Linked DNA regions of Rhinolophus ferrumequinum. The protein of the gene in region 1 purifies or fractionates together with the protein of each later gene. This does not show direct contact. Links are inferred from orthologs where the notes say so. Each region holds a gene or a part of one and is shown on either strand. Other genes may lie near its edges.

The links.
Region 2: the proteins of TGOLN2 (region 1) and GALNT2 purify together in Homo sapiens (affinity purification with mass spectrometry; 3 studies listed by BioGRID and IntAct, counting the BioPlex papers as one, with this or other methods). This does not show direct contact. The link is inferred for Rhinolophus ferrumequinum from reciprocal best matches to the Homo sapiens genes TGOLN2 and GALNT2.

What each region holds. Positions count from the first base shown.
Region 1 is NC_046296.1:8,933,331-8,948,590, forward strand, and holds the start of TGOLN2 (trans-Golgi network integral membrane protein 2), read right to left. Parts: upstream 5,726-15,260; 5' UTR 5,626-5,725; coding exon 5,580-5,625; intron 5,337-5,579; coding exon 4,075-5,336; intron 2,930-4,074; coding exon 2,846-2,929; intron 1,608-2,845; coding exon 1,602-1,607; 3' UTR 1-1,601. Other genes in the region: TCF7L1 (transcription factor 7-like 1), read right to left, coding at 13,332-13,765. UniProt on the Homo sapiens protein: May be involved in regulating membrane traffic to and from trans-Golgi network.
Region 2 is NC_046310.1:26,495,953-26,511,163, reverse strand, and holds the start of GALNT2 (polypeptide N-acetylgalactosaminyltransferase 2), read left to right. Parts: upstream 1-7,672; 5' UTR 7,673-7,761; coding exon 7,762-7,887; intron 7,888-15,211. UniProt on the Homo sapiens protein: Catalyzes the initial reaction in O-linked oligosaccharide biosynthesis, the transfer of an N-acetyl-D-galactosamine residue to a serine or threonine residue on the protein receptor.

The DNA.
Region 1 (15,260 bases):
GAATGGTCAATAGTGTCCAATTCTATCAAGGTCAAGATTCCGTTTTGAGAACAAGTCATTGGATTTGGTGATCTGAACCTTTGGATAAACATTTAGTAGAGACACAAAAACCAATGTGAGTTTGTAAGGGTTACGAAGAGAAAGAGTGCTAAGGTAATGGAAACAATACTTACTGGAGAAGTGGAACAGTAGAATGAATAACAAATAGGATGAATGGGTGTGGGGTAAATCTGGGCAAGTGTAAAGTTGGAGGAAAGGTGCTACGTAATAGGCAGAAATGGAAAGCATTAGAGGAGGAAAGGTAGGGAAAGGGAAGACAGAAGGGGAATAAAATAACCATGGTCATAGGGAATGCTAGAAGAGCCTGATAAAAGATTCCTCAGATTGGAGGACAGTATTATAAGACTGGTGCACAAGTAGAGAAAATGATGCCAACAAGAGCATTCATTCGTTCTTTATCTCCACAAATAGCTACCTGCAAAAATGAAAATCTCCAAGCCATGAGCTGTTTTAAGCAAGGTGGAAGATAATATGACAAACAGGACGGCCCCTTCTTTAGACTTACTTCTCTTACAGCACAGAATCCATCACATGCTCCTCACTTCCCACACCCTTTGTATTTCCCTGAGATCAGTTATTCTATTTGTTTTTTCTTTGCAGAAACAACTCTGTTTAGGCTCTCTCTAATAGAATAGCATGACCAGAACAGATTTCAATAAAACTTCAAACAGCGTGATTCAAAACATTACCCTCAGTTACCGTTCGAAAAAAATGCAGACCAATAGCAAAACCTTCCCAGATGTTTTCTTGCATAAAGCCATGAACTTACCCAGTTATGACAGTGAGTGTGGAGAACAGTGTTTCAATCATCATAACTGTATTTTTAATAATCTGTGATGGGAATAGTAGCTTTACTCCCAAAATCCCCACATTCAGTTTTATACTCAGTACAACCAAATGGAAGTTGATTCACTTTGTCTTAAGTAATAGGAAAATATCAGAAAAACGTAAAGAACTTCTACTAGACAGGTTGGACTTGTAGGCAGTAAAGCACTTTTTTTAAAGCTGCTGTTTTGGTTTGCTGCTGAAGCCTTTAAAGAAAATTGTGTCCTAAGTAGCCCTTTGCCCATCAGCATTCACCTTCTACATCTTTTGTAGGGTACATCCCCCCAAAGTAAGATGCCTTGGAAGAAAAGCACCTCAACCTGCAGTTTTCTCCTCGGTTTGCAAAAATAAATAGTGGCGAGTGCAATGCTATTTTCAAGGGGTGACTTTACTACAGAGCCAAGGTCCAAGGGAGGGTGGTCAGCAGCTTGCCTAGGACTGGGGTCTCCGTTTGGTCAAAGCTGGGTTCCCACATGCTGGGTTCTACTCACACTTAGAGCGGGAAAGGATGAGACACCAGCGTAAACACCAGGAACACAGGAGTACAAGGTCACCAAAGTGCAGGTGCAAAAACCAAAGCAACACCCCCGCCTCTGGCAGCCCGGACTTGTCATAAACCCGAGAGGGTGTCTCTTAGGTCACAGTACTTTTCTCTTCATTTCTCTTGATTTAGAAACAAATCAGCAGGGAGGACAAGGTTCTCAAAAACAGAAAAATCAAATCTGAAAAGAGAGGAACACAATCCAATGGTAATGTTCATCTTTTTGGAGAGGAATATACCTCACTGCTATGATTACAAAGGGAAAAAAAGGCCTTATGGGAGTTGCAGCTCAGAATTAAGACAAATTGACCCTCCACCATACAAACAGCAATTGATACAATAAAAGCACGTAAAATTTTAAAAGTTAGGTAGAAAGATACACACTTCCTGGAGGGACCCAGAACCCTGGCTTCTGCTTCGTGCCATGATTTGTTGTTTTGAATTGTTTACATGAGTATTTTTTTTAACCAGAAAAATATTATAATGAAGGGGAACGGAAATCCTTGAAGTCAATTACCTGGGACGGCACTAGGCCAGGGCTATAATGGGAAGGTGACGTACAAGTGGGCTAGTTAGCAAAGAGGTTCTGAGCTAAGTGGCTTATTCTGTAACTGGTCTGAGCTGTACATGTGAACTCTGCTCCCTGTAGAAAGTCTGGGAACAACTCAGTTGGGCCACCAGCAACTCTTTACCAACGCCCTCGCTGTTGCTACATGAAGGGAAAGAAAGGGTGTGAGCTGGCAGCAAAGCAGTGGGAGTGCCTCCGGGGAGCGCGTGCCTCAGCTCCTGCTGCTGTGGGCTGGGAGGGCTTTGCTTCCACGCAAAGGCTGCACTCAGGAAATCTAGTCCGCAGTGCTTAGCAGGGCTGACCTGGGAAGTTGGAGGCCTGTATATTTCTGGATTTGTTTATAGGGAGTGTCGTCTAGTGCTTTGCTCCCTGAAGTGTGGTTCCAGCAGCAACTGGCATCACCTGGGAACTTCCTAGAAATGTAGAAGCATAGGTTCCACTCCATACCCAGTGAATCAGATTTTGCTTTCTGTCACAATGCCTATGAAAATTTGTGACGTGCTGGTATAGTACAAAAAGCACAAGACAGGAGCCTAGGGAGTTGCCATTAGGCCTTGATTTTGCCACCAATTTGAGGTGGGAACTTAGGGGGAAGAAGAATCATGATGTTTCCGGGCCAGAGTTTGCTCATCTGTCAAGGGAGGGAGCTGTTGTCGAGCAGCTGAAGGTCTGTTCAGTTCTAACACTGCAGACATGGATACGTGGGTGTCTCTACTTTGGGGTCTGAAAAGGCCAGGGTGCTGGTAGTAGTACCCCCAGAACCAGCTGCTGCTGCCACGCCAATGCAAGCCACTGCTGGGCCCATCTAAAACTGTACATCCCTCCCCTGAGCCTGGATCTTCCTCCCTTACCTTCTGGTCCAAACGCTGGTAGTCACTGGCCTTTGGCCGCCGAGGGAGTTTGGATTTTTTTCCTTCCAGGACAAAAGCAATAATCTGGGGAACGGCAAAAGAAAATGATTAACAAGTGATTCTATACTGACATACTTCAGTCTCGGAAATCAGAGATAATCACCTGATAGTACGTTTGTTAATAACCCTAACAGTACAAAGAGCAGTACACTCTGAAGAGGCCTATTTAAATTAGAACGATTTTAAGGAGGACAGGGCCTAGTTGCATTAGAATCCCTTATACTGCTAAACAGAAAATGAGAGATGGAGGAAGGCTGTTCTGGGCTCTAGTTTGTGGGAGTCTCTGGATTTGCTCAAGAGTACTCAGCCAAAGATGGGCCGACTCCTCCCTAGAGAGTTCCTTAAATCATAAGCAATTATTATTTCTTTTCTGCAAATGTACTCTTTCACCCCACACTTTGCTTCACCTTAACCACACCACTCTCATTTCATGCCTAAGGTTACTCTCCATGTTGGATGTAGAATAAGGAACACACCGTTTTAACTTAACGTCTTTTGTGTTTCCTAACAGCCACAGGCTTTATGACCATCATGAATTGAACTCTCCAATTCGAATCAGGCTACAAAAACTGCTAAATTCTTAGAGCTCAACAAGAACTGCAGTCCCTTTATCATTGGAATGATTGCTAAGCGACACAGATGTTACTTCACACCAAACCCTGCTAAGAAGTGAAAGATGAATGTATCCATGCAATTTCTGATCTTTCTTCTAATCAGAAGTTCAACTGACTGCAGAAGATAGTCCCTGGGCTCTCTGCTACGCATGTCGAAGATTATGTAACGATTCTTTCTGCTACTGCAGATAGAAGATAAAAGCTTAGCAAAGAAGCAAGAAATGATTCACTCTTGAGAGTGGAAACAGGAAGATAAATGCTCTAACTACTTCTTCTGAGGCTGTGAAGGATCTAAGTTCAAGATTATGGGAGAATATCCCAATTCAGGTCAGACTGTAATAATGTCCTAATTGGCACTTAATGCAGCAGCAGAGGGCACTCAGAGGAAACAGACATGAAAACAAATGACTTAGAAAACAGGAGTAGAGCCCTAGCAGGGTCTGGAAAAAAATTTGTCTTAAAATCCCGTGTTCACAGGCAGATCAGTGATGGATACTGGCCCATATACCAAGCTTTCAGGCTAACCCATTTCTCTGAAGGCATTTCTTGACTTACCTTCCGCTTGTTGTGATAGGCAATATAGAGGACAGCAACGAGAATGGCAGCAGTCACCAGGTATGCAAAGAAGTGGCTGCTTTCTGCACTCGCACTTCCAAGGCTGTCCTTATAAAGGTCAGCCTTCTTCCCGCTCATGGAATCCAAAAGTGTCCCTTCTTTCTCTTCTTTGGGTGGAGAACCTTCTGTATCACCTTTCTCAGCCTCCTTTGGCTCCACATCTTTAGCAGGTTTTGAAGACTTATCTTCTCCCTCCTGCGGGGGAGAAGTGGAGTCAGAGTCCAGTAATACTCTTTCCCCAGATTCAGATTTGGAAGCATGCAGAGAGGTCTCTCCTTTGTCAGCTAGTATGCTTAAGTCAGGGTTGGTAAGCTTGTTATTAGAGGATGGGTTGGACACAGGATTGTTGGAGTTGTCTTTCGTGGACTGGGTGTCCTGTTCCGACTTGCCAGAATTATCTTTCGTGGACTGGGATTCCTGATCCGACTTGCCAGAATTATCTTTCGTGGACTGGGATTCCTGATCCGACTTGCCAGAATTATCTTTCGTGGACTGGGATTCCTGATCCGACTTGCCAGAATTATCTTTCGTGGACTTAGGGTCATGACTGGACTGGGGGTGCTGATCTGATTTGCCAGAATTATCTTTTGTGGACTGGGGGTCCTGATTCGACTTGCCAGAATCGTCCTTCGAGGACTGGGGGTCCTGATTCGACTTGCCAGAATCGTCTTTCTTGGACAGGGGGTCCTGAGTTGACTTGCCAGAATCGTCTTTCGTGGACAGGGGGTCCTGAGTCGACTTGCCAGAATCGTCTTTCTTGGACAGGGGGTCCTGAGTCGACTTGCCAGAATCGTCTTTCGTGGACAGGGGGTCCTGAGTCGACTTGCCAGAATCGTCTTTCGTGGACAGGGGGTCCTGAGTCGACTTGCCAGAATCGTCTTTCGTGGACTGGGGGTCCTGATTCGACTTGCCAGAATCGTCTTTCGTGGAATGGGGGTCTTGATTTGACTTGCCAGAATCGTCTTTTGGGGAATGGGGGTCTTGATTTGACTTGCTTGAACTGTCTCCTGTGACCTGGCGATTCAAACTCAACGAGGCAAATTCCTCTTTGATGGATTGGGTTTCCAGAGCAGATGTGTGGACATCCTTTTCAGACAGGTGGCTCGAGGGGGGCTGATTGGAATCTTTTTCTGGAATCTCTCCTTTCTCCCGACTGAGCAGTTTTTCGGTGGCTGACAGGGCAGAAACGGGCAGCGCGGCGCCTGAAAGAGAGAAACCAATTGGCTCTGAAGAGAGGCAGGTCGGGGAAAAAGGAACCCTCAGAGCTATAAGAGACCCGGGCAACAGGCAAACGGTGGGGCTGGGAGGGGGGGGTGATGCCGACTGGAGGGGTGAGTCGGGCAGGGAAGCAAGCTCAGATGGCGACCGGCCACGGTGAGGATCGTGGACCTGCCTGTGGGGCTAGTGTCAGATTTTTGGGGGTCGGTGGGGGGGGGGGGTCTTACCCGCCGCTACGACGCTCAGCAGGACCAACGCAACCAGGAACCGCATCCTGAACAAACTGTACTTCCGCTACCGCTCTCGCGAGATCTGCGCACGGACTCAGTATTCATAGCCCCGCCCTTTCCTGTGCGCGTCCCCTCAGCTCCGCCAGGACGAGGGGAGCCGCCTGCGGAAGGGTCGGGGAGGTTCGTAGTTCCACTATTTTCCCTTTGGGTGTATCCACCTTTTTTCTTTGCTCCATAGCATCCTTAGCAGACCGTCACTCCCCGTTTCCTTCTTCCCCCTGGTACGTCCGAGACAATACAGCTGAGCAGGTGCTCCTCCCTGGCAGTGGACGGTCCCACGGGAGTGACGTCCCTGGGGCCCGGCGCCTCTGCGCCCCATGCTCTGCTCGCATTTTTGAATCTCCCCTTTTCGTGGTTATTTCACCGCAGCATACAGACGGGCTGTGCTTAGGTCTCCCATCGAAACAGAACCCATTCTGTCACCTTTGTAGCGGGAGCCTTCGAATCACCGCTCCACTCTCCCAACACCACGGAAACTGTACTCTCGAAGTTGCCAAAGAGTTTTCCTAAAGAATACATCCTTTTTCTGATCATGAAAGCTATTCATATCCACAGTAGAAAATTTGGTGAATGTATGGAGGTAGAAAACAAAATCTTTGTCCCACTCTTCCGGGATAATCACTATTAATGTTAGTGTTTTCTGTCTTGCAAACATTTAACATTTTTGGTTAGGTAATACGTTCTAATGGTTCAAAAATCCCAATGGGTTTTTTTAAAAAGTACACATTGCAAAGTTCTTGTCCCCTACCCCCCACAGGTTATCACTTGCATTATTGTTTCCATCTAGTGTTTTTCTTTTTTAAAAAACAGATACATACGTACTTATTTTTCCCTTAATATATATATTATTGGTCTTTTTTCAATGCATTTTCATTTTCTCCCAAATTGGAATCATTGGGTAAATAGTTTTGTATCCCACTGTTTAAAATTACTGTTGGGTTTATACATTAATTGTTGCTTGAAGTTGTTTTATGAACATTGGCCAGGCTAAGTGCTTTGTAGACTGATTTAAAAAATGATAGGCCCTAACTTAATGGAACATGTAGTCTAGTGGGACACAAAAATATTAATCAAATATTTACACAACTGTGTATGTGTTCCAAGAACTGCCAAGAAACAAAAGTATAGAAACTCTGCACTCTGTTGAGAAAGGACCTTTGAGCTGAGGACCAAAGAATGTAGGTGTTTTCCAGGTGAAGTTGAAGGGAGGAGGAGGAGGAGTTTTCCTGGCTGAGTGTACAGGCTGTGCAAAGACCGGGAGGCAGGTGGGAACCTGGTATTTTGTGTAAGTCTAAAGATGACGATAAGAATGTCAGATAACAGAACAAGAAAACTGGCAGGGGATGCGGAGGGGCAGAGCCAGATTAAAAAGAAATGATCTAGGAGTTGTTAAGAACATAAATCTTTGTGGGACACAAAAGTACATCAGAAAATATGCCAGTTACCTCAGGCTGAAATGTAATCCAACCCAAAAGGACTACAGCCGCCAGGAGCAATCACACTTCTCTGTAGTCGGTTAAGTACAGTATTTGGGTTACATTGCATCCAGATTTACTAGTAGGTTGAAATCCTGAAGACCGTTCATGGCATAAATATAGTTTTCAGGAACAAGAACTTTTGTTATTTAAAAACCTTTAATATGCTTGTCAGTGTTTCTCTGTTGTAAGAAAATCTCTCTCACACATACGCTCATTACTGAGGAGAGAACAAGGATCAGAAAGAAGTGAGAAATCTTTTACCAAATTATTTCAGATGCTTTTACTAAAGAAAGTGAACCATGACTCTGCTTTTACTAAAGAAAGTGAATTGGTAAATGAATCTGTATTTAAAAGAAAAGTCTCTCCAAGTTCCATAAATAAATATTTGACTAACATTAAAGAATAGTGGTTCAGTGGAGATATGTATAGGGAGAGGAATGGCAAATTATTAAGCCTGATCTTGTTTCCACAATACTAGACAGAGGAGAGGAAAGAAGGGTCCAAATCTTGCAGTTTGTGGGCCATGTCCAGGGTTTTATATTTTATCTTAATAGTAATGAGAAGCCTTCAAGGAGGTTTAAGTAGGGAAAGATATAATCAGAGTTGGAAAATTTTGAAGATTAATCTGGTTGCAGGGTAAAGAATCTCTAGGGATGGGGAGAGAAGAGTGGATTTAGGAGTTTCTCGGCAGACTTGTAGTAGTCCAAGTAGTCCAATAGGGACAGTGAGACTGGAGGGAAGTGGTAGGACTCAATAAATTTGGGAGGTAATACCAACAGGCCTTGGAGATGGATTGGATATGGGAGGGAGGGGTGATGGAGAGGAAGGTGTGGAGAACCAGATTTGATGGGGGCAGTCCATAGAAAATGGATTTGCTTCTGGTTGTGTGTTTAAGATGCCTGTGAGACAGTCAAGTAGAGATGTCAGGGAGGTAGCTGGAAATGTGAGCATGGAGTCCAAAGGCAAAATATGGGAACTTTTTTCCTAACTAATTTAAATATTGTTCAAAAAATACAATTGTTAATGGTTTCATAAAAAGTAGTTTATGAGTTTATTATAATTTTTGTGACAGTTCCCTTATTATTGGAAATCTGGATTATTTTCCATTTCCTACTGTTAGTAACAATTATTTTGGTACATTTTAAGATGAGACAGATCCTCAGAAAGATTCAGCAACTTGCTTAAGGTTGTGCTATTATTTTACTCAACCTTTGATAGCAGTGTGTATTCTTAATCTGCCAGTTTGATAGGAGAAAAATAATCCCTGTTTTCCTTGAATATTTATTGCACAAGTAATTTACATGAATTTGGGCAATATACTTAATTGATTTAAGTACCAATTTCTTCACTATGAAATGGGAATAAGTATTGAGAATTAGATAATTCATAGAGTATTTAACACAGTAGCATATAATTAAAGCTCCCAAAAGTTATTGTAATTTTATGTTCATAATACAAAAATTAAAAACAAGGATAAGCCAAAGTAAGAAAATGAAAATATCCTGTAATCCACAGCTATTATCATGAATATTTTGTTAGTTCTCCCTTTTATATAGGCGTCTATGTGCATATGATAGCTTACTAACTGAAACTAAAGCAAGTTATAAAACCATACATACAATTCTTATCTTGCAGACCTTTTTTGTAGCTTTACTGCTAAAACTAGTCATGTCACTTGTCTTCTGGTACACTATCGTCTCCTTGTCTCCTTATTGAACCTACTTTGAGGAATCCCAGTTGTCTTAGAACTGAGTGTTTGTAGAAGGAAAGTGAAATCAACACTATCAAATACAGCACGGAGTTGAAGTAAGATAAGGACTTAGAATTACAATTTCAGTAGAATGGTGAGAGCAAAACCTGGTTGCTGTTGGGTAAGTAGTGAGTGGGAGGTAAGTAGAAACTACCTTTTCTGGAAGTATGGATGTAAAACAGAGGGTTTCTAATATGGGAGAGGATTGAACGTTTTTATTGACTGAGGGAAAGAACTCATTAGACAGAGTGACCAAGATTACAAGACAGTAGTGGTGGAACAAGATACCAAGAGATGAAGGGCTGGGGTCCAGGAGCAGTAGAGCAGTTGACCTTGGGTTGAACCAGGGATTGACTTTGAGATCTGTGGAAAGGCAGTTAGAATGGTCAGAGGGTGGGTGGGTATTTAGGTAGGGGTGTGGGAGAGCAACATAGAGCATTTCAGCTGGCCTCAGTTTTCTTGATATTCTAAGAGGCAAGGCAGTCTTTGAGAGTGAGAAGGTGGGGATTAAATTGGGGTGTTGAGAATGGTGAAGACAAGAGTTGAGGGCACTAGAAGAGGGAGCTGATAAAGGACAAGTGCAGTAACTGAGTGGTATTGAAGGCCTCTCTGATCTTAGGCACCACAGATCTGGAACGGCACTATTTCAGTCGTGTGGTTTTTCTCCAGGCAGTGCTTCTACCAGGGTGGGAGAGGAGTAGAGAAGGCAAATTTTAGCACTAACTCCTGACTCACACCAATTTTGGTTTAAGGGAGTGGCAGCAGGTAACTTTAATAAATCTTAAAATTTCCTTGCACCCCTTCATGATAAAAACACTCAACAAACTAGGAAAAGAAAGGAACGTCCTCAACCTGAAAGACGGCATGTCCAAAAACCTTACAACTAATGTTATACTTAATGACAAGGCTGTATGCTTTCCCTATAAGATAAGGAATAATGATGTCTGCTCTCACCACTTGTATTCAACTTTGTACTGGAAGTCATCAGGACACTTAAAAGCAAGAAAATGAAATAAAGACATCAAATTAGAAAGGAAGAAGTAAAACTATATTTGCAGATGACATGGTCTCGTATATAGAAAATCCTGAACATTTTCTAAAAATTTATCAGAACAAGTTCAGCAAGGTTGTAAGATGTGAGGTCAATATACAAAAATCAATTGTATTTCTATGCATTTGCAGTGGACAGTCTAAAAAGGAAGTAATTCCATTTACAATAGTATCAAAAGAATAAGATCCTTAGGAATAAATTTTACAAAAGAAGTACAAAACTGATACTCTGAAAGCAAAACATTATTGAAAGAAAATAAAGAAGTCCTAAATAAATGAAAAAGACATCCCATGTTCATGAATTGGTAGGCAATTTTGATAAATGGCTATGCTCCCCAAATTGATCTACGAACACCATCCCTATTAAATTCCCAACTGGTTTCTTTGCAAAAATTGACAAACTGATCTTAAAATTCATATAGAAATGCAAAAGAGTCAGAATAGCCAAAACAGTTTTGAAAAAGAACAGTTGGAGGACTCACACTTCCCAATTAAAAACTTGCTACAAAAAGCTACAGTAATTAGGACAGTGTGGTACTGGCGTAAAGGTACATAGAGGAATGGAATAGAATTGATAGTCCAGAAATAAGCCTCTACATTTGTGGTCAGTTAATTTTCCACAAGGGTTCCAAGCTAGTTCAATGGGGGAAAGAATAGTGTTTTCAACAAATGGTGCTGGGACAACTGGCTAATAAGCATATGAGAAGATGCTCGACATCATGAGTTAGGTAAGTGTAAATCAAAATCACAGTGAGATACCACTTCACACCTACTATGATGGCTATAATAATGAAAAAAAAACGAGAAAATAACGTGTTGGTGAGGATGTCGAGAAATTGGCACCCCCACACATTGCTGGCTGGAATACACATGTTGTAGCTGCTATGGAAATGTTTGGCAATTCCTCAAAATATTAAACAGTTACTGTATGACCCAGCAATTCCACTCCTAGGTGTTTATACCTCAAAGAACTGAAGACAGGGACTCAAACATTATACTTTTATGTGAATCTTCATAGCAGCATTATTCACCACAGCCACAATGTGGAAAACAACCAATGCATCCATCAATAGATGAATGGATAAACAAAATGTGGTACATACGTACAACGGCTATAAAAAGGAATGACATTCTGATACACACTACAACCTTATACTAAGTGAAATAAGTATAATATTGTATGATTCTATTTATATGTGGTACCTAGAAAAAACTCATAACGATACAAAGTGGATTAAAAGTCCCTACGGTCTGGGGGGAGGAAGGAATGAGGGGGTTACCGCTTAGTGGGCAGTTTGTTTGGGATGGGATGAAATAATCCAGTGGTTACGGTTGCGTGATGTTGTAAATGTACTTAGTACCACTCAATTGTCCACTTAAAATGGTGAATTTTATATGTATTTACCACGATTTAAAAAAAGCTGTATATCTGAGTAAAAAAACCTAGCAAATACTGATAAAAAGGAAGTCTAAATTATTTTATCAAAACTTAAAAAATCTGATACATGCTACAACATGGATGAACCTTGAAAACATTGTTATGTTAAATAAGCCAGGCACAAAAGGACAAATATTTTATGATTCCAGTTACATGAAATATTTAGAGTAGGCAGATTCATCGAAACAGAAAGTAGATTAGAGGTCCCGGGCTGGGGGCAGGGAGAATGAGGGTTATTGCTTAATAGTTATAGAGATTCTATTTGGGGTGATGAAAAGTTTTGGAAATCATTCGTGGTGATGGTTGCACAACACTGTGACTGTAATTCATGCCACTGAGTTGTACACTTTAAAATGGCAAATTTAATGTCATGTATATTAACCATAATTAAAAAAGAATGAAGTACTGATACATGCTACAACATGGATGAATCTTGAAAATATGCTGGAAGAAGTCAGTAAGAAAGGACCAAATATTGTATTATCCCATTAAAATGAAATATCCAGAATACACAAATCCAAAGACACAAAGTAGACTAGTGATTGGTTGCCTAGGGTTGGAGGAAATGCAGGGTGACCTCTAAAGGGTATGTATGGGATTTCTTTTTGAGGTGATGAAAATGTAAAATTGACTGTGATGATGGATACACAATTCTGAACACATTAAAAACCATTGAATTATACACTTTAAATGAGTGAATTGTATGAATTATATCTCAATAAAGCTGCTACAAAAATTACTGGATACCATGCAAAGCAGACAAAGGATGCCCGTCACATCTTGGCCATTCTAATAAGACAAATGGAAACAAAAGGCTTCCTCCATTTGGATCTCAGTTATCGATATGGACTGGTCGATGCACATTTGAGGCTGGAAGCTGGGTTGGATTCGTCTAATTGTGTCAGGCACGTTTTATATCCCCCTCCGGTAAGTGCTAATGCTCTTTGCATGTATGCAAAAATCTCTCTAGCACAGGGCTTGGTATGAAGAAGGGGGCTTGATTCAACAAAAGGATTAAAACACTCAGAAAAGGTCTTGCAACTGCAATTTTATTTTCTTTTGTGAAAATAAAGAGCTTATTGGGAGTTTAAATTGCTTCAAAAAACCCATAAAAACAAAAAGAAGTACACACAGAAGCATGTGAGGTGATGGGGGAGGGAGGAGGGTCTTTAGAACTTTGGCAGACTGTGCTGGCACTGACCCAGCTGGCAGGAGCCTTGGAGCAGGTCCTGTCTGCCCCTCTGGGACTGTGAAGGGGAGGTCTTGACTGGTAAGAGGGTGGAACACAGACTTCGTCTCTAAGGAAGTGGCAGGCACCTTGAGTCCTTTTAGATGTGGGGAAGAGCCATTTCAGAGGACCTTTTTCCCCACCAAAAGCTGGAGGCTGGCAGGTTAGGGCCCACTGTGGGAAAGGGGATGCTGGTGGAGATAAACCAGGCAAAGGTGTCTTCTCACATGGCGACAGCCTTACACTGGGCAGAGGACGGAGGAGATGAAGGCAGGAACCCATGAGTTGAGCAAAGGAGAAAAACTTGGGCGAGATAAAAGGAAATGTCCAGGCACAGGATCTAGATGAAGAAGCAACAGGCTAGAAGTTGCAGCAATGGCCATCATGCAGACTGAGTGGGGGAGATGAGACGAGGGAGGGGGGCAGAAAGTAACAGAGGTAGAAAGAAGGGTGTCTTCTGCCCAGGTTCATCCCGCACTGCACAGACAGGAAAAATGACACACTACTTTTCAGTTCTCTTTCTTTTAAGGATTTTTTTTTTGTTGGTTTTGTTTTGTTTTTTTAAAAAAGCCTTAAGATCAGCTACTGGTTACATCTACAACACGTAAAGTGCTGTTGTTACCAGCCACTTTACAGAACAGTCCAGAGTGGTCAAATATTGACCAATAAAGTTCCTTTTTTTTTTTCTTCTGAATCATTACTACTCGATGGGTCACGTGACAGCCTGCATAGGTCACAGGGCAGCTTAGTGGGCAGGCTTGGTGACCAAGGACAAAGGCTGGGCCTGGAGTACTGGGAGGGCCTGGTGGGCATGGAGCGTGGCTGGGAAGGAAGGGGGAGAAGTCAGCAGAGCTGTGGGCATGGACCCGAGCGGGAGGGGCCGGGAGAGGAGCGGGGGCTGGCTGCCCATCTGGCCAGAGGACGTGGCTGCAGCCTTCGCTGACAGGAAGGCAGCCGAGTGGAGAGCCAGCTGGGCCCGGCTCTCAGGCTTGGTGGTGAGGGAGAGGGGCTGGGCTTGCTCGGAGTGGGTCGCAGCAGGGGCAGCCGGTGAGGCCAAGGCTGCCGAGGGGGTCGCCGGGGAGTCCAGCATGCTGCCGTGGGAAGAGGCAGGGCTGTCGCAGGGCTTCTCAGGGGGCAGGTACTGAACACATGGCTTCTTGCTTTTGGAGACCAGAGCACCTAGGGGAAAGACACAAGCAAGAGTGAGCAGCTAGTAGCTCTGGTGAGGCTGCAGGAGAGCGCTGGCTGTACATCCCTACTCTGGAAACATAAGAATCCTTCCAAGGAGGAAGTGAGGACCTGCAATTATGTCTAAGGCTTTCGAGACTAGCAGCTGCATTCCAGGATGCCTAGAGCATAGAGAAGGGGCAATGCTAAACGACAAAGGATTGTTCAGTCTCTGACTAGAAAAACGACAGCTCAGGCTATCGCATCATCATCTTCCTCACCTGAATCTCATCATTTTGGGGATGGATCGCCACTCAACTTGCTTTAAAATCTTTGGTTTATGGTATCATTAAAAATAGTGTAGCTCTGGGCCAGCCCGGTGGCTCAGGCGGTTGGAGTGCCGTGCTCCTAACTCCGAAGGCTGCCGGTTCAATTCCCACATGGGCCAGTGGGCTCTCAACCACAGGCTGCCAGTTCGATTCCTCAACTCCTGCAAGGGATGGTGAATTCTGCCCCCTAAAACTAAGATTGAACACGGCACCTTGAGCTGAGCTGCCGCTGAGCTCCCGGATGGCTCAGTTAGTTGGAGCACGTCCTCTCAACCACAAGGTTGCTAGTTCGACTCCCGCAAGGGATGGTGGGCTGCGCCCCCTGCAACTAGCAACGGCAACGGGACCTGGAGCTGAGCTGCGCCCTCCACAACTAAGATTGAAAGAACAACAACTTGACTTGGAAAAAAAGGTCTGGAAGTACACACTGTTCCCCAATAAAGTCCTGTTAAAAAAAAAAAAAAAGTGTAGCCCTGCTAAGCGGTGTGGTATACAGTGAATTTTGCATTATATATATATATATATTTTATTTATGTGTGCTCATATGTAGATGAATATACAAATTAGAAAAAGAAAAAAGACAGAGAGAGAGAGAGAGAGAGAGAGAGAAAGAAAAAGAAAAAAAAGAAGAAAGGGAAAGTAAGAAAGAAAGGGAAAGGAGAGGAGAAGGGAGGGGGAACAAATGCACTTTAAATGGTAACAGCGGTTCTATACTTGTCCTGGAGTGAGTATGAGAGGAGTGACCTAAATGCTTGTCACAGTGTAAACATCTCTGTGCTAGATGTGATTCCGGTATAAAAAGACAGTATATATTTTTGGCACAAAGTGGCCCCCAAACTCGAGCAAACTTTCTTCTGGTGTTCGACCAACCAAACATTGGAGGCAAACCTGATTCTGTTAAATTCACTGATAGGCAGTATGTCAGTCTCTAACGCGCCAGCTTCCTAAAGAAATTTCACAGAATCTTGGAACATTTTCACCTACATTCAGTTCCTAACAGGCATTGATTTTGGAACCTAACCCTCAAATAAGATGCAACTCAACTGAACTGAAAAGCGCCTAGGTTCGAAGTGAGTGACTGCTGGGATCGAATCCTGCCTCCATCATTTAACAGAATAACTGGGAAAATCCCTTTACTTCTCTGAGCCTCCTAATTGGTGATCTCTAAAAAGGGATAG
Region 2 (15,211 bases), on another chromosome or scaffold:
TCTGAGGCAAGGTACGGGGACTCACAGCGGACAGAACGGTTCTGCTTCAGTGTCGTGTGACCCCATGGAAACCAGCCCGCAGGAGGCCCTGGGCAGCGTCCCTCAATGTCTTCTTTTTACCATAGCCTCTGTATTTTTTGGGGAAAAAGGAGTTCTGATGATCCAATTTCAGTGTTTAATATTTTGGTCCCATTTAAGCAGTTATAATTTTGTTTTTCTTTTCTCTCCTAATTGGGATTTTACCGCCATTGAAATATTTTAGAAAAAGGGATATTATACCATCAGATAATAAAAAAGGTTCTTTCGTATAGAGACACAAAGTATCGTCAAAGTGATGTCTCTGACAGCAGTAACTGGCCCAGTCACCTGGCAGCAGAAACTCCTGAGCACACGGATGTGTTTGCTGCGGCACATAGCAGCGGTCCATCATGCCTAACAGCTAAGGGAACAGCCCTCAGGGCTCCAGCATGGACACATCACCTAGATAAATGGCAGAACTGGGGCTGAGGCAAGGGCACGTCAACGCGGTGCAGAGCACGCCACTCAGCTGGTAAAAATACGGAGCCGTGCCCATCTGCTCCAAGTGTGCGGAGCTGGGAAAGGAAATGGGAAGGGGGCCTTCTGTGCAAGCCGCTGCCCAGGGAACCGGGTACGGGGGAGCTCAGAGGTCGGGACGAGCAGCCTTAGCTGAGTGAGCTCAGGTTTTTGCTTCTTTCCTAACCTGCAAAGTGAAATTAGTAATCAGGGTCTACCACACTGGAAGTTAAATCACGTCTTAAAGAAAATAATATCAAACTTCAGGAAGGTTGAAAAAATAATACGCTTTTTATCCAACCTCACCATTTTTAAATCTTCTATTACATTTGTTTTATTATCTTCTGCCTATATATTTTTTCTCAACTTTTGAGTAGTTCGCGTGACTTGTGCCCCTTTAACCTTTGAATTTCAGTTCATGTTCCCTATGAACAAGAATCTGCTGTGTATTCATAACCCAATAACCAAAATGAGACCATGTCACACTACGCTGTATGCTGCAGTCACAACAGCAAGCACACTACACCATTACCAATCTGTAGCCGTAGTCAGCTGTGTTAATTGTCACACTCGTGTCCTCCGCAGCATTTTTAGAATCATGCACTGAATTTAGTCCACCCATCTGGAACCGTTCCTCAACTTCTCCTGTCTGTCATAATTGTGACATTTCTGAAGAATACAAACCAGCTACTATACCGAATGTTCCTCATTTTGTTTCCCAATATTTATCTATGATTAGATGCAGGTTACGTTTCCTTGGCTGGGTACTGAGGCACTGATGCTGCGGCATTCCCAGGCATGTCTGCAGAGAGGGCATCCTTCCAATCTTCTTGAGGGACATCAATTTTGGTTACCTGGCCAAGGTCGTGTCTAGTTTCCCCACTACACAGTTACCAAGTTCCCTCTGCAACTCATAGGTATTCTGCTGAAAGATATTTGAAGACCTTGTACATATCCTCTTGTCCTCAAACTCCCCTGTCCCCACCCCCATTTCCACCCCCACACAGTAGTATCTCCTGGTGAGTCTTCTCCATCAATCTTTACTGTGACACGGTTACCAAATGCTGATTTTCAACTTCACCCTGCTCTTCACGTTTGTCAGTTGGCATTCAGCTGAAAGACAGAGCCCATGTCTGCCATTTATTTATTTATTACCAGCATGTGCTCACAGATTCCTACTGTATTCAAAATTCATTTTGATGTACACATGTCCTAGATTTCACCAGTGAGGGCCCTTCAAGCTGGCTCCTGTGACCTTTTAACATCCCCCTCCAGTTTTTTTGCCCTTCCTTACTTTCTATTACAACAAGATGTTGTCATTGATTCTAAGAATCAATCATTTCTCCAAGGAAACTTCTTATAGTGCAAAATGGTACTTAGAATCCGAGACCTGGTTGTAAGCTGTGCTCACGATACGAGGGTGTCATTCAGTGGACAGACCTGGGAAATGTGTACAGACACGTATATGGAACATGTGTGAGGATGGGTTTCCATGTGCACACAAGGTGAGCATAGGTATTTCATATGTATGCACATGGAAATAACGAGTCTGTACTCTGATCTCTAGGTCCAGATCTACTCCAGAGGAAGTGTCCTGCCTTCCCTCATTCCACACTGTACTTCCCTTCTTCCACAGTGAAAACCCTAGACCCCCAAACAATACATTTTCTGATTTGCTCTATCACACAATATGCAGAAAATGTTTAACTACTACACTCGTAACACTATGAAAAAAACCATAAAGAGTTCAAACATTGTGTGCAGCTCCTTTTATTCTCGAGGCTGATGGTATAAAGTCAAGCACTTTGTTTAAGTTATGACTTCATTCTTTCCCCCCTTCTAGTGTGGTTATGTCATTCATTTGCAATATAGTCAGATTCATTTCTGCTCAGGTTTCATTTTTATTCCCCACCCCCTCACCATTTCTGTTTTACTTTTTGAATATGTAGAACATCAGCATGTTTCTAAAAGTCAAACCTGGGAAAAGGGTATTCTCAGAGAAGGGGGGCTCCTTCTTTCCCTTCGACTTTTCCTCCTGCCCTTACACGTAGCCAATTTCATTGTTTTCTGGTTTATCTTTATTGTGGATGTGTCCATGTTAGTATGTGTGTTGACAAAATAAACAGATAGCTGTATGTTTTCTTCTTTTCCCTTCTTTCTTACACAACAGTACTCTATTGCACTGTGCTTTTTTCATTTAATAACATATCCTGGAAACCACTCCATATCTATTCACAAAAGTCTTCTTTATTATTTTGCATAGTCCTACCAACAGAGCGCTTTGTCAAACTTTTGCATTTTTGCCAATTTGTTGGGGTGGGGGAGGGGGAATACATAGTATCTCTCTAGTTTTAATTTGCAACTCTATTATGAGTGAAGTTGAACGGCTTTTCATGTTTATGTACTCCTAAACTCTTTACTATGAATTGTCTGTTTGTGTTTTGCCCATCTCAATGTTTAAGTTCTTTACATATTAGAGATATTACCCCCTTTATGTATGACATGTGTGGAAATAATTTCTTCCTATTTGCTATGCCTTTTCTATTGTGGTAAAATATACATAAACATACAATTTGCCATTTGAGCCATTTTTGAGTGGACAGTTCAGTGGCAGTAAGAGCATTCATGTTGTTCTGCAGCCATCCCACCATCGTCTCCAGAACTTTGCATCTTCCCAAACTGCAGCTCTGTACCAGTGAAACAGCCCCCATTTCTCCTCCCCTGGCACCCAGCCTTCGCCTCTGTCTCTGTGAATGTGACGACTCCAGATGCCTCCCATCAGTGGTGTCATACAGTGTTTGTCCTGCTGTGACTGGCTTATTTCATGCAGCATCACGTGCTCAGGTCTCACCCATGTTGTAGCCTGTGCCAGAATATGCTTCCTTTTTAAAGCTGAGTAATGTTCCACTGTTTGGATGGAACATAATTTAGTTCATCCATCCATCCACTGATGGACACGGTGTTACTTCCACCTTTGGCTACTGTGAATAATGGTATTATGAACATAGGAGTACACACATCATCCGAGTCCTCGCTTTCAGCTCTGGGGGTACACTCAGAGGGGAGTTGATGGGTCATACAGTAAATCTATGTCTAACTTTTTGAGGAACAGCCATACTGTTTTCTACAGTGGCTGTACCATTTACATTCCCACCAGCAACACACAAGGGTTCTAATTTCTCCACGTCCTCTTCAACATTTGTTATATATATTTAATAACAGCCGCACAAATGGGTGTCAAGTGACATCTGATTGTGTTTTTTTGTTGTTTTTTCCCCCCCATAATCAATGTTGGGGTAGATTCCAGTTTTCCCTCATGGACTTCAGTTGTCATGAGGCCTGTTTTTTGTTTTTGCACTTCCCCACATCACATCCTTTTTCCAGGTCTGCAAAGTATACTGACTTCAGACCTGCTGTTATGCACAATGGAAATAGACTCCCATTGAATTTTTTTTCTACCTCCAACATCGTACAAAGTTTAAACTCTATCATACAGTCCTTATTCCAGATCATTAATATGGTTTTACTCCTCTGAGCACATCCTGGGGTACAATTGATGTACCCTCACTGGGAGTTGAAGTTTTGGCTATAAATTGTCCTTCTTCGTCTCATTTAATGCTCTTTGGCCCGTTCTACTTTGTTTGATATCAGGATCACAGCTCCTGCTTTTTTAGAGTTGGGTTTCCTTTTCTGCCAAATTTGAAAATCTCTTAATAGGCAAATAGAGACATTTATAAGTTGATATACTGACATGGTTTGGTCTCACCTCTGTCATATTATTTTCTGTTACAATCACTGCACGTATTATGCTCTACTTACTGTGTTCCTTACACTATTTGATGTTTATTCTTTGCAATTTGTAACATTTTTCTTTTTGGGTTTTGAAATAGGGTTTCCAATATTTTGGAACATTTATACTTTGCTTTAGTGTCATTTTTTTATATTTTTATATTATCCTTAATCCCTTTAATTTTTAACCTTTAAATTTCTGGTCTCTCCCTTTTCTATGATCTCCTCTGACTCCCACATATTATCTATCATGTTTCCCCCAAAATAAGACCTAGCTGGACCATCAGCTCTGATGCGTCTTTTGGAGCAAAAATTAATATAAGACCTGGTCTTATTTTACTATAATATAAGACCGGATCTTATATGATATGATATGATATAATACCTGGTCTTATATAAGACCGGGTATAATATAATATAGTATAATATAATATAATATATATATGTTATACATAATATAATATAATATAATATAATATAATATAATATAATATAATATAATATAATATATACCAGGTCTTAATTTTTGCTCCAAAAGACGCATTAGAGCCGATGGTCCAGCTAGGACTTATTTTCGGGGAAACGCTGTATTTAACAATTCTGTTTTCCCTTTTCTCTCTCTCTCTCCCTCAATTGTCTGTAGTCACACTTGTTCCACCTTCCCAGAAAGTATGTGTATACTGTTCTTCCACCAATTAAATGTATGAGTACTCTCGCTCAGTCACTTTGCTGGTTTCCTCAGTTATCTCTTGGTTGGGGAAGCTCATTCTCCAGGAAAGGAATGTGACGTTCTCTGAATTTTTGCTCTCAGTTCACATCTGTTTGTCTATAACTTTGATCCTTGAAGTGTGGACAAAAAAGCCCTTGGCTGGTACTTTCTCTGAGTTTCTTGTAAATGCTTCCCCACTGCTGCCTTGCTTTGTATCCTGTTAAGAAGTCTGATGTCAACCTAACATTTCATCTCAGTAAGTAATTTGATCTTTTTGTCTTTAAAAACCTAGTAGTTTTGCTAACATATATATTTTGAAGTTGATTCTCCCAGACCAGTTTCCCAAGCTATGTGGAAGTTATTTTCGATAAGTAATTTGAATTTTCTCTTATTTTTGGATTATTTTATGGGATTATAGCTATTTCAATTTTATTGAGATGTAATTGACATACAGCACTGTCTAAATTAAAGGTGCACAGCATAGTGACCTGACTAACATATTGTGAAATGATCACCACAGTAGATTTAGTTATCTCATATCAATGTGTAGTTTTAAAAAAATATTTTTTTCTTTGTGACGAGAACTCTTAGAATCTACGCTCTTAACTTTCAAACATACCACACAGCAGTGTTAACGATAGTCATCATGTTATACATTACATCTGGATTATAATTCTGTCTCACTCTTTGGTGTTTAACGTTAGGAACTCCAGTTATAGGTATTTTGGTTCTTCTTTTTTGACTTTCATTTAAATCACTTATTTTGAACCTTTTTACTTCATTATCTTATTTTCAATTTCTAGATTAACTTATTGCCATTCTTCAGGACCCTTTTACATATTTATATTTGAATATATTCTCCTTTGGGCACCTTGTAATCATTCTGTATTTCTGGGATAGTTTTGTCTTTATTTTTAATTTCTTTCCTGAATTTGACCAACTTTTGTTGCATTTCTTCCTAATGTTTGTCCAGTCTGTTCTTGGTTTTTGAATTTCAGATTCTAGTTGCATAGATGTGTATCTATGGATGTGTATCCAAATACATGATACTTTGTTCATTCTGATATGTGGTGTCAAACTGCTTTTCTTCTGCTTCACAGTTTTACGGGGGGGATTTCATCAGCTGAAATGTTATGATTCAGTTTCTCATCATAAGAAATGTGATTTTCTGTTTTCTTTTTGCAGTGCTGTTGAATTTGCTTTTCTGTTACCAGGAATTTTGGCACAGGGTTCCTGGTTCAAAAACGTTCTATCTGTATGCAGAAGTGCAGTTTTTAATAGATAACAGTGGCTGGGGGAAGGATCCACCGTCTTTTATTTCTGCAGGATCTTTAATTTTCCCTCTTACTTCCTTCATTCCCTTCACCGCCAGGCCTCCAAAGGGCATTACCTTTTCTCTGTGTCGCTGACTTTTCCCAGAAGCAAGGCTTCTTCAAGGCTGCCACCTCCTGTCCCATTTTCTTTGAAACCTCTTCCCTTTGTCAATCAAGTACCAGACTGGTGTTCAGTTTTTAGTTCTTGTTGTTGGACTTTCTCTGCATGGAGGGATTTAAGCCTGGGCTTCACTTACGTCCTTGGCAACAGTGGAGAGAGCTCTGTTGGAATTTGATGTCTTTTCTTTCTTCTACTTAAGTAATTTCAAGTTCAGTTCATGTCAATTCCCTCTGCTAGTGACGCTGAAGGCTTGTTAGCTTGTGTTTGTGTTTTGTTGCGGATATGAGTAGAGGTTCAGATTCAGGCAGCTGTCATTAACCTCTAGACTGGGAAGCTCCTGAAATCACTTTTAAAATATCAAGTGCAAGTAACATTTCTTTCTTTTCTAGGAACACTGGAAACTGCGGTTAGAAGGGCACCATCAAGGTTATGTATTCTGTTCCAAGACAGATCTGTCTTCTTGCATCTTTGAAGATGTTGAGTGTGCTAACTTTCTTCTTTTAAGAAAGCAACCAATTTAAAAGATTTAAAAATGTATATTGTTTTCCTTCTTCCTCATTTCAAATTTACTTAAAACAAAACAAAAAAACCCTGCTGTTAAGCGCTGTGTTCATCCCCAGAAAAATGTTCCCTTGAAGACGACCTCTCCGTTTCTAGCTCTAGGCCCCCACCTCTGCCTAACTGAAGAAATTGACACCTGGGATCAGGATGTTTTGCTGCAAAATTAGAAAGAAAGCTGCAGCGAGCAGCAGCTGAGTCAGATCCAGGAGGGTCAGTGGGTCCGTAAGATGGAGCCTGCTAAGGGTCTGAGGTGGTCACGAAGACCGGGGATTGACGAGATCGTGTCCGCAGGGCAGCGCGAGGCAGCAGGGACCAAGTGTCCCTCCTGCGTGTGCACGTGCGTGCGCGCTCCTCTCGGGTCCCGGCAGCCACCTGTCACTCACTGGGGCGGCGGGGCGCGGCGCGAGGACGCGAGGGGGCGGGGCGGCCGGCTGCTGCCGCCCTGGAGACGCGGTGATTCCCCTCCTCCGCCCGCGCCCGCGCCCCGCCGCCCGCCGATTGGTCGCCCTTTGCTCCCTGACCCCCTGGCCGCCGCTTCCTGCTCGGGCGCCGCGCGGCGCTCCCGGCCTGGGGCGGAGCTCGGCGCCGAGTGCGCGCCGCCCCCGCCGGGCGAGCGGGAGCCCGCGCGGGAGGAGGAGCCGGAGCCGCGCCCGCCCTTCCCCTTCCTCCGCCCCGCGCCGGCCCAGGCAGCACTCGCGAGCAGCGGCGCCGCGGCCGGCGGCCGAGTGGGGAGGATGCGGCGGCGCTCGCGGATGCTGCTGTGTTTCGCCTTCCTGTGGGTGCTGGGCATCGCCTACTACATGTATTCCGGCGGCGGCTCCGCGCTGGCCGCCGGCGCGGGCGGCGGCGCCGGCAGGAAGGTGAGTGGGCGCCCGCCCGCGGCCCGGCCCCCCGAACCCCGCTCCCGCCGCCCCCGCGCCTGGCCCTCCCGGCGCCGACGCACCCCGGCTCCTCAGTCGGACGTGGCCGCGGGGCCCCGAAGAGCTCCCCGCCCGAGCCTCCCGCCGAGTCCCCGGGGCAGCGGGCGCACCGGCCCCTCCGCGCTCGCCGGGCTCGGGAGAGGGCCCGCCGGCGCAACCCCGCAGGGCTGGGGACCGCGGACGCCTTTCTTGTCGCCTCCGTTCTCCTCCGTAGACATCCCCTCTCTGCTCCACATAATTTGAGTCTTGTCCGGCCGCCGGAGCCCCATCCCCTACGGTGGGAAGTTTAGGGGTGCGCATGTTGGGAAACACAAAAGGGGGTGGGGAGGAAGGGGAGAGAGGCAGCCGCCTTTCCAGCGTGTCATGTACAGTAGGAGAGAGGCGTCCAAGTTTCTTTTTAGCTCTTTGATACAAGCCGTTGCAGGTCCTACCCTCTTTCCCCCGTGTCACCCCGCGTGGGGAAGAGGCGCAGCCAGTTCCGTGCCTAACGAAACGGGCTCCCCTGGGCCGGAGTAAGCGGAGGCCAGCGCGCCTCTGCGCCCGGAGGGAGGCCGGCCACGTCCCCGACCTTCCCCTCCCGGCCCCCGCTTACACTCTGCCGGACTCGGCCCCGGCTCTCCCGCGCACGCCGGACGCGGCCTCCTGCGCTGGCATTCACCGGCCCCACTCCCCCGTTACGCGGGCACAGCCCCTCTACTACGACTGTGTTTTCGACAGGCCCCAAGGGCCGAGTGATTAGGCCGTGGGGACCATGTACGGCGCCCTGGACTACCCGGCGCTTCGGCAGGAAACGGAGGGAAGCCAGGCAGCCCAGTCCTGGGCCGTGCGCCTGCTGGGTCGGGAGGACTCTGGGCTGTGCACATGTCGCCTCGCGCTGTTTGTGGTGTTTGGTGGTTCATAGGCTGACAAAGCAACGTTATCTTTTCCAAAATCCTGTAACCCAATTCCTCTGACGTTTACTGTCACCGCAAACCCAGGAAATTCTGAGTTAATGGAGGTGGACCACGGGTTGGGCTAGAACCAGGCAACGGTATCCTGGAACAAGACAAACGGGTGGGACTGGGCATGATCAGACTCTAGCCTCAAGACCTGTGAATGTCAGCGTGGAGTTCGGCTGCTTTAGAGATTTCCTTCCTTGCTTCCTTCATTCTTCATTCTCAGATGAAGGTATTAGGTAGAGAGGTAGGTGCCTTATTTGGTTCTTGGTAAGCTTCACAGGTTTACTTTATGGGGGGGGGGGCAGAAATGAAAATAGTTTTTCCCTGTGCTGAATTGGCCTGGCTTGGGTCGGAGCTGACAGTGTACTCTTAGCCCTGTTTCTTCTTTTTTTAATGCAAGGAACTGTTGTATGTGTACACGAAGTCTCCGTTTATTCTTGACTGATAAAGAGCCAGTATACCCAGGGGAAGCAGAGCAGCTGCTGCCATAGTGAAAACTGGGGGCATGTTAAACTGGAATTATTTTAAAACTGCTTCCCGGTAAGGTGGGTCTGCATAGCCTGGTGTGCTGGTGAGACCTGGCAAAGCTTTCTGCCTTTCATGCAAAAGAAAACCAAATGGGTAAGCCGTGCTTGGTATGTCTTTCCTTGGCTTGCCACTTTCACATGTGATTAGAAACAGCCACAGTGTAGCCTTAGCATCTGCAGAAGCTGGACTCCCTCTGGTGGGTGGGCTTCAGCTGGTGGACGGTGTTTGAGGGGTCTTCGATGTGTGACCCTTAGGTAAAAAAAAAAAAAAAAGTCCAAGAACTCCTTGTGGCCTGGTGGCCATAGAAGGGACAGAGACCATGTTGAAAAAAAAAGTGTGGGAAAGGAATGGTTATACAATGATTGGTGATTTGGGATTCTATTCTTTCTGTCAACGAACCATAACATTTAATCCTGGCCCTTAGAATGGTTTAGTGATTTGTGGGTTGAGGAAGAGGTGTGTAATGCAGTCACTTTTGAAATTGCAGTAAGAAGACTCATTAACTTCCTGCAGTGGACCCTGCTGCAAAGGGAAAGTGCTAAGACTTTCTGGACGGCAAATAGAACTGTGCTGTCCTGAGTTTTCTGATCAAGGTTGTGAACCCGGGTAGTCTTTCTTCCTCCTGAGTTGTTTCCATGGATTTAGAGACTAGAAAGTCTTTTCGAATTTACTTTGTCCTCATGATAAAAGGAAATATGTAGTTATTCTTAGCTTGTAAAGTAGGGACATAAACAGATAATGGGGTGCAGGTTCGGGCCGAATTTAAATACTCGCTCAAGTGTTTCAGATGTAAGTGGACTTCCATTTCTTCTCGTGTTTCCTACTAGTCAAGTCAAGGCTCTAAGCCCATATTTAGTTGATTTCTCTGCACCCTGACATTTTTCACAGGCACCAGCCTTCAGTATTAGGCTTTGGGGGATTATCTGTCTAATATTTCTGCTGCTTCAGCACCCCAGCCCCGTTTGTTGCTGTGTGCTCTGCCTGTTAAATAACTCATCTCAGAACTGTTATTCTCCATTTGGCAAAACCCAGACTGCAGATTTAATAAAGTAAACAGAAGTGGGTGCTGAAGACCAGCCCGGGCTTTGCTGCAGAACTGGACTCAATGCCAGGTTCAGGGGGTGTGGTCAATCAATTATGCATCAAGTTGTTTACAGTTCTATTTCATTTACGTTTGTATAGAGCCCTTCACTCCCCACATTTTGCTCTTTCTCCAGTAAATTGATGATTTGCACTTCAAGGATGCCTTTCCTTTGAGCATCTTAAATGCTTTAGAATTTAATTATGGTACGGCTCCCCTGGGCCTTGGTATGTTGGCAGTGGCTGGAGCCCCAGAAGGGAGGAAGGGATTTCTGTTGAAAATGTACCTGCCTCTGGGTGAAGTGGGCTGTTTAAGGATGGAAACAGAAGGGTTTTCCAGCATGTGAAAAATGATCTCTACTGAAAGTGTGTCTGGCCTAAGCCCCTGTCTGTGTTCCCTGCGTCCTTAGGAGGTCAGAGGAAGCATTAGCTAGAGGACATGACCCAGGGCCGAGGCAGCCTGTTCACTTTCCAGCAGCCTTCCTGGGGGTGTGGGAGGGGAATGTCCCAGGGTGGGAGGACTCTGGGCGTGACCTTGTAGTAGACATTGCGGGTATGTGGAGGGATTCCTCTTAGAATGGTCGGGGCCTAACTGGCTGGAGCATGGTACATTAGGGTGTAAAATTAGAGGAGGAGTTTGGGACTAAGTTGTAGACGGCTTCAAATGCCAAACCAACTTCTTGGTCCTTAATTTGGTTGATCATAGAGAACCAGTAATGTTCTCTGAACTGGGTAGTGGACATTCAAATGAATGGGAATGGCACAGATCCATTTATGGGCACCGAGTGAGTGATTTTCTCCTTTGTGCTTAGTGACTTTTGCTGATTTACGGAACCTCTCTGACTCTCACTTGCCTCATCTTTACAGTGGGGATAATCATTTTTACCGTGTGGCCGAGCACTAAATGCCATTAGCAGGTTCTGGCAAATAGTTGGTGCTGAATAAATGGTATGGGGAGGGAGACAGAAAAAGAAAAGCCTGAATATACATTTGAAAATCCAGTGAACCAGGAATCTTGTGTGTCTTCTGGAAAATTGTTGATGCATTTCTCTTCTTTAACCCCCGCTCCATTCCTCCAGGATTTGGTTGGTTCATTTGGGCTTGTACTGGGAACCTGGGATGACGCAAAGGACTGCCTTTTTTGGGAAGTGGTCCAGACCCCATGCCAGTTCTCTTGTTCCCAGCTGTAGGGTCAGTGGGCAGCCAGCAGGAAAGTGTGCTGAGGACACACCTTCCTTTGGTGTGTAAACAGCCTGAGTGTCACTGTGGACGCGTCCCTATGGAGCTTTCCTGTGGTGAGGAGGCTGCTCTGCTCCCCAGCGGGGTGCTGGGCTCCCCTCACCCCTGCAGCCTGGCTTCTCCTGGCCTGAGGGGGACGGCTGTCATCGCTCCAGTGTGCTTGGTTTGAGGTTGGACACGCGGCTGCCACGCGCTTCGCTGGGCGTCAGCAGATCTGTGAGCGTGCCTGTGGGGATGCGAGGGGGGACGCACAGCACACCCCGCCACCTGTAATCAGTTTGGAGTTTAAAGAATTTCCATTGGAAGTGAGACTTTGAGGTTGGGGTGGGGGGGGGAAGACAAACAGGCGCTGTAACATAAACTTTTCTCTAAAGAAAACAAAGTTTCCTATTCTGGAGTTATGTTGTGGCTGACCCCCCCCCCCCCCCCCCCCCCCCCGGTTCTCAGACGTAATGGAAACAGATTGTGACTGATAAACAGTGCGAAATAATGAGCTCTTCCCTTAACCCTCTAGCGAAATGAGAAGGAAGCGGCTGTTCCCAGCGGGGACTGGGGGCAGCCCGGGGCAGCTGCCCCAGCAGACCTCGGGGTGGGGTGGGGCGGCCCAGGAAGCACTCCTGGAGGGGGCTGGGTCCTGTGGATCGGCGCACAGGTGTTTGGAAGGTGGTCAGGGAAATGGCTGCAGCTGGGGGTGACTTAGGTGTGCACATAATTTCCTATCGCTGCCATTTGCGTTTCTCAGACATTTGGGGAGAAGGATGGCGGCCTGATAGGGCTGCTTTCAGAGCAGGCGGTGCTGTGTGGTCTAAGTTCACACAGAGCCAGAGGCAGTTGGCTTTGTGGAAGCAGGTGGCGGGACTGCTGGAGCATAGACCCAGGCATAGGCACATGCGAGAGCTGATGGAGCTTCTGGCCAGGATCCCGGGAAGGGGAAGGTATTCCTGGGAAAACCCGAGAATGAAGCCTCCTAGCCGGCCCAGCAGAATTCATGGGATGGGAAAGCAGCCCTACCCGGCTGAGCCTGCCCCGCACCCCCTGTCTTGTGAACCCTGTTCTGGGATGTGTGTTTGCATGGATGACGCTGACATAAAGCCGGCAGATGCCCAGATGGAGATACACCTGTGCAGCCGTACAGACGGAAACAGTGAAGCCCTGCTGTGACGCTTGTTAAGTAATTGCCATTCTCTTGAGACCCTGAGAGCCCCCCCCACCCCCAGCTTCCCTTGGGATCCCTTCTCCATGATCAGCAACTAAAGTTGAAACCTGCCACCACAGGGGCCTCTCAGACCCCTCTTCTGTGCCCAGGCCACAGCGGCACCTGAACACGGATCATAGGACCGAAGGAGGCATTGGCCTCGTCTGCCGCTGTGACGAGATGTCACCTTCTCCCTGAGGACATCCATGTTGCTCCTGGGGACCCTCGGTCCACCACTGTGGTCATGAGGCCTTGCCTCCAGACTGCCAGGAGGGTCGTCCACCAGCACCCCCTCCCGGTGGGTGCCACGAGGCAGGTCTGAGAGGCACGCTCCGCTGTTTCCATGTCTGTTGAGGACATTGGTACCTCGAGTCTGCTCTCCAGCTGACACTCATGCCCTCAGAGAAGACTGACCTTGCTGTCTTCCCTGGGTGAGGATGCTTGAACCTTGGGCCATGTGCTTGAGGTACGAGGAGTGCCTGTCCAGTTCTCCTTTCTGACAGTGTACCCGTTTCCAGGAAATAAAAACCAGCTCCAGCAGTGAGCAGGTCTCCTCCTCTCCCGCGGTGCCTGCCCAGGCAGGTGGCTCCGTGCTCCTGCTCTCTCACTGACTCTGCAGGACAGGCTGAGACACTGGCATTTTCGCATTTAGTCGTGACCGGTATTACGGGCCCGGGAAACGTCACCTTAAACGGATTGGGTTTCTTAGCATGCGGGATGTAGATGGCAGTGATTCATCAGGGCTGGCTTTGAAAAGCCAAAAGTGGTCGCAGTCTTTCTCCTGGGCTTGCACTGGAAAAGCTTTCCTGGGCTTAGGGGGTTGTGTAAATGCCACTCTCCTGCGCCCCGCCCCATGTCATGAAGCAGCTGCTGTGAGGGGTGGCTGCCAGGAGACAGCACTCGCCACCCTGTTGGGCCGCCCTCCCTGGCACCTGCTCCATTCGCCTGTGTCCTCCTGGGAGGCTCTCAGACCCCTCCTGCCGTCCCAGCCCTAGCGGTGTCACTCTTTGGGAGGAGGAATGGCCAGGATGGCTGGGGGCAGTTGCCAAGTTCCCAGAGCCCAAGTCAGAACACGCGTTGTGGCAGGGATGGGGTGCTTGGGGGGCAGGGGTCACTCCAGTTCAGGGTCCCCGACATCGACCCGGTTGACATTTGGGGCTGCCGTGTGCACAGTCGCGTGTCTAGTGGCTTTCCCGTGGCAGCCGTGGGTCTGCTGTGCTTGTCCACACAGGGTCCTGGGTGACGTGTCCTCAGCCCAGGAAATGGTACCCATCGTGGACCAGGCTGCGGTAGGCGCCTGCAGTGCCTTTGCTCGGACACTTAGTGGAATGTGCTTGTGGAACCATCGTGGCGCTTATTTCCGAGCCTGTCTCTGTGACGTGCTGTGGCGGGCTGGGGAAGTGTCTGTTGTCTGTTGTCAGGCACACCGAGAGGTCACCACACGTTTCCACACACATTACACGTAATGACGAATCCTCGCTTGTCCCTGTGCACCTGCTCCGGCACAGGACTTCCACTGTGACGTCATCTCTGCCAGCTGCTGTGGGTGACGGCGGCTTGTTAATTTGATTATTGCAGGAAACCAGAGGTGGTCACAAGCCTGTCTGGTGCCGTGGCTCTGGAGCGGTGGTTTTGGGCAGTGTGGGTAAGGTCGAGACTCAGTGATGTACAGTATTTGTGGAAAATAAAGCAGACATGTGACTTCACTGCCACAGCACTTTAGGGAAATGGGATGGTGGGAAATTGCAGGTCCTCCTGGTCTCAAGTGAGAGCATCCAGCTGCTTTCCATAGAAGCCATCGGCGTTTATGAAGGTCGTTAGAAGTTTTACGGGGTCATGAACCATGCCTCTGGCTTGTTTCTGGATAAAGCCACTGAAACATTACATGGAGGCCAAGGAAAGGTGATTTTAAAGACCTTCAGACTCCCGAGCAACTGCTGAGGTTTCTTCCTCCGTGCTCCAGAGGCCAGTCCAAGGAGTGAACTTTTTATTTCCAAAAAGGTGCTGCTCTGGCAAGATGACACACTTCACAGGAAGGGTCTGTCTTCCTTAGATGAATCACCTGATGAGAGCTTGAGGAGCTGATGCAAATTGAGGCCTGCACTTCTGAGATGCCCATAAATTAAGCAGTCTGTGATCAGGGTTTGGTAAGTGGGGATAGCTCTCGTTTTGGGGGTTTCTGTGGCTGTCCTGGGTGATGAGCTGGCTGGCCCCGTGTGGACGCCTTCAGGCCCCATTGCCTCAGCCCTTCCTGCCTCAGGGGCCTTCCCAGGGACCTAGATTT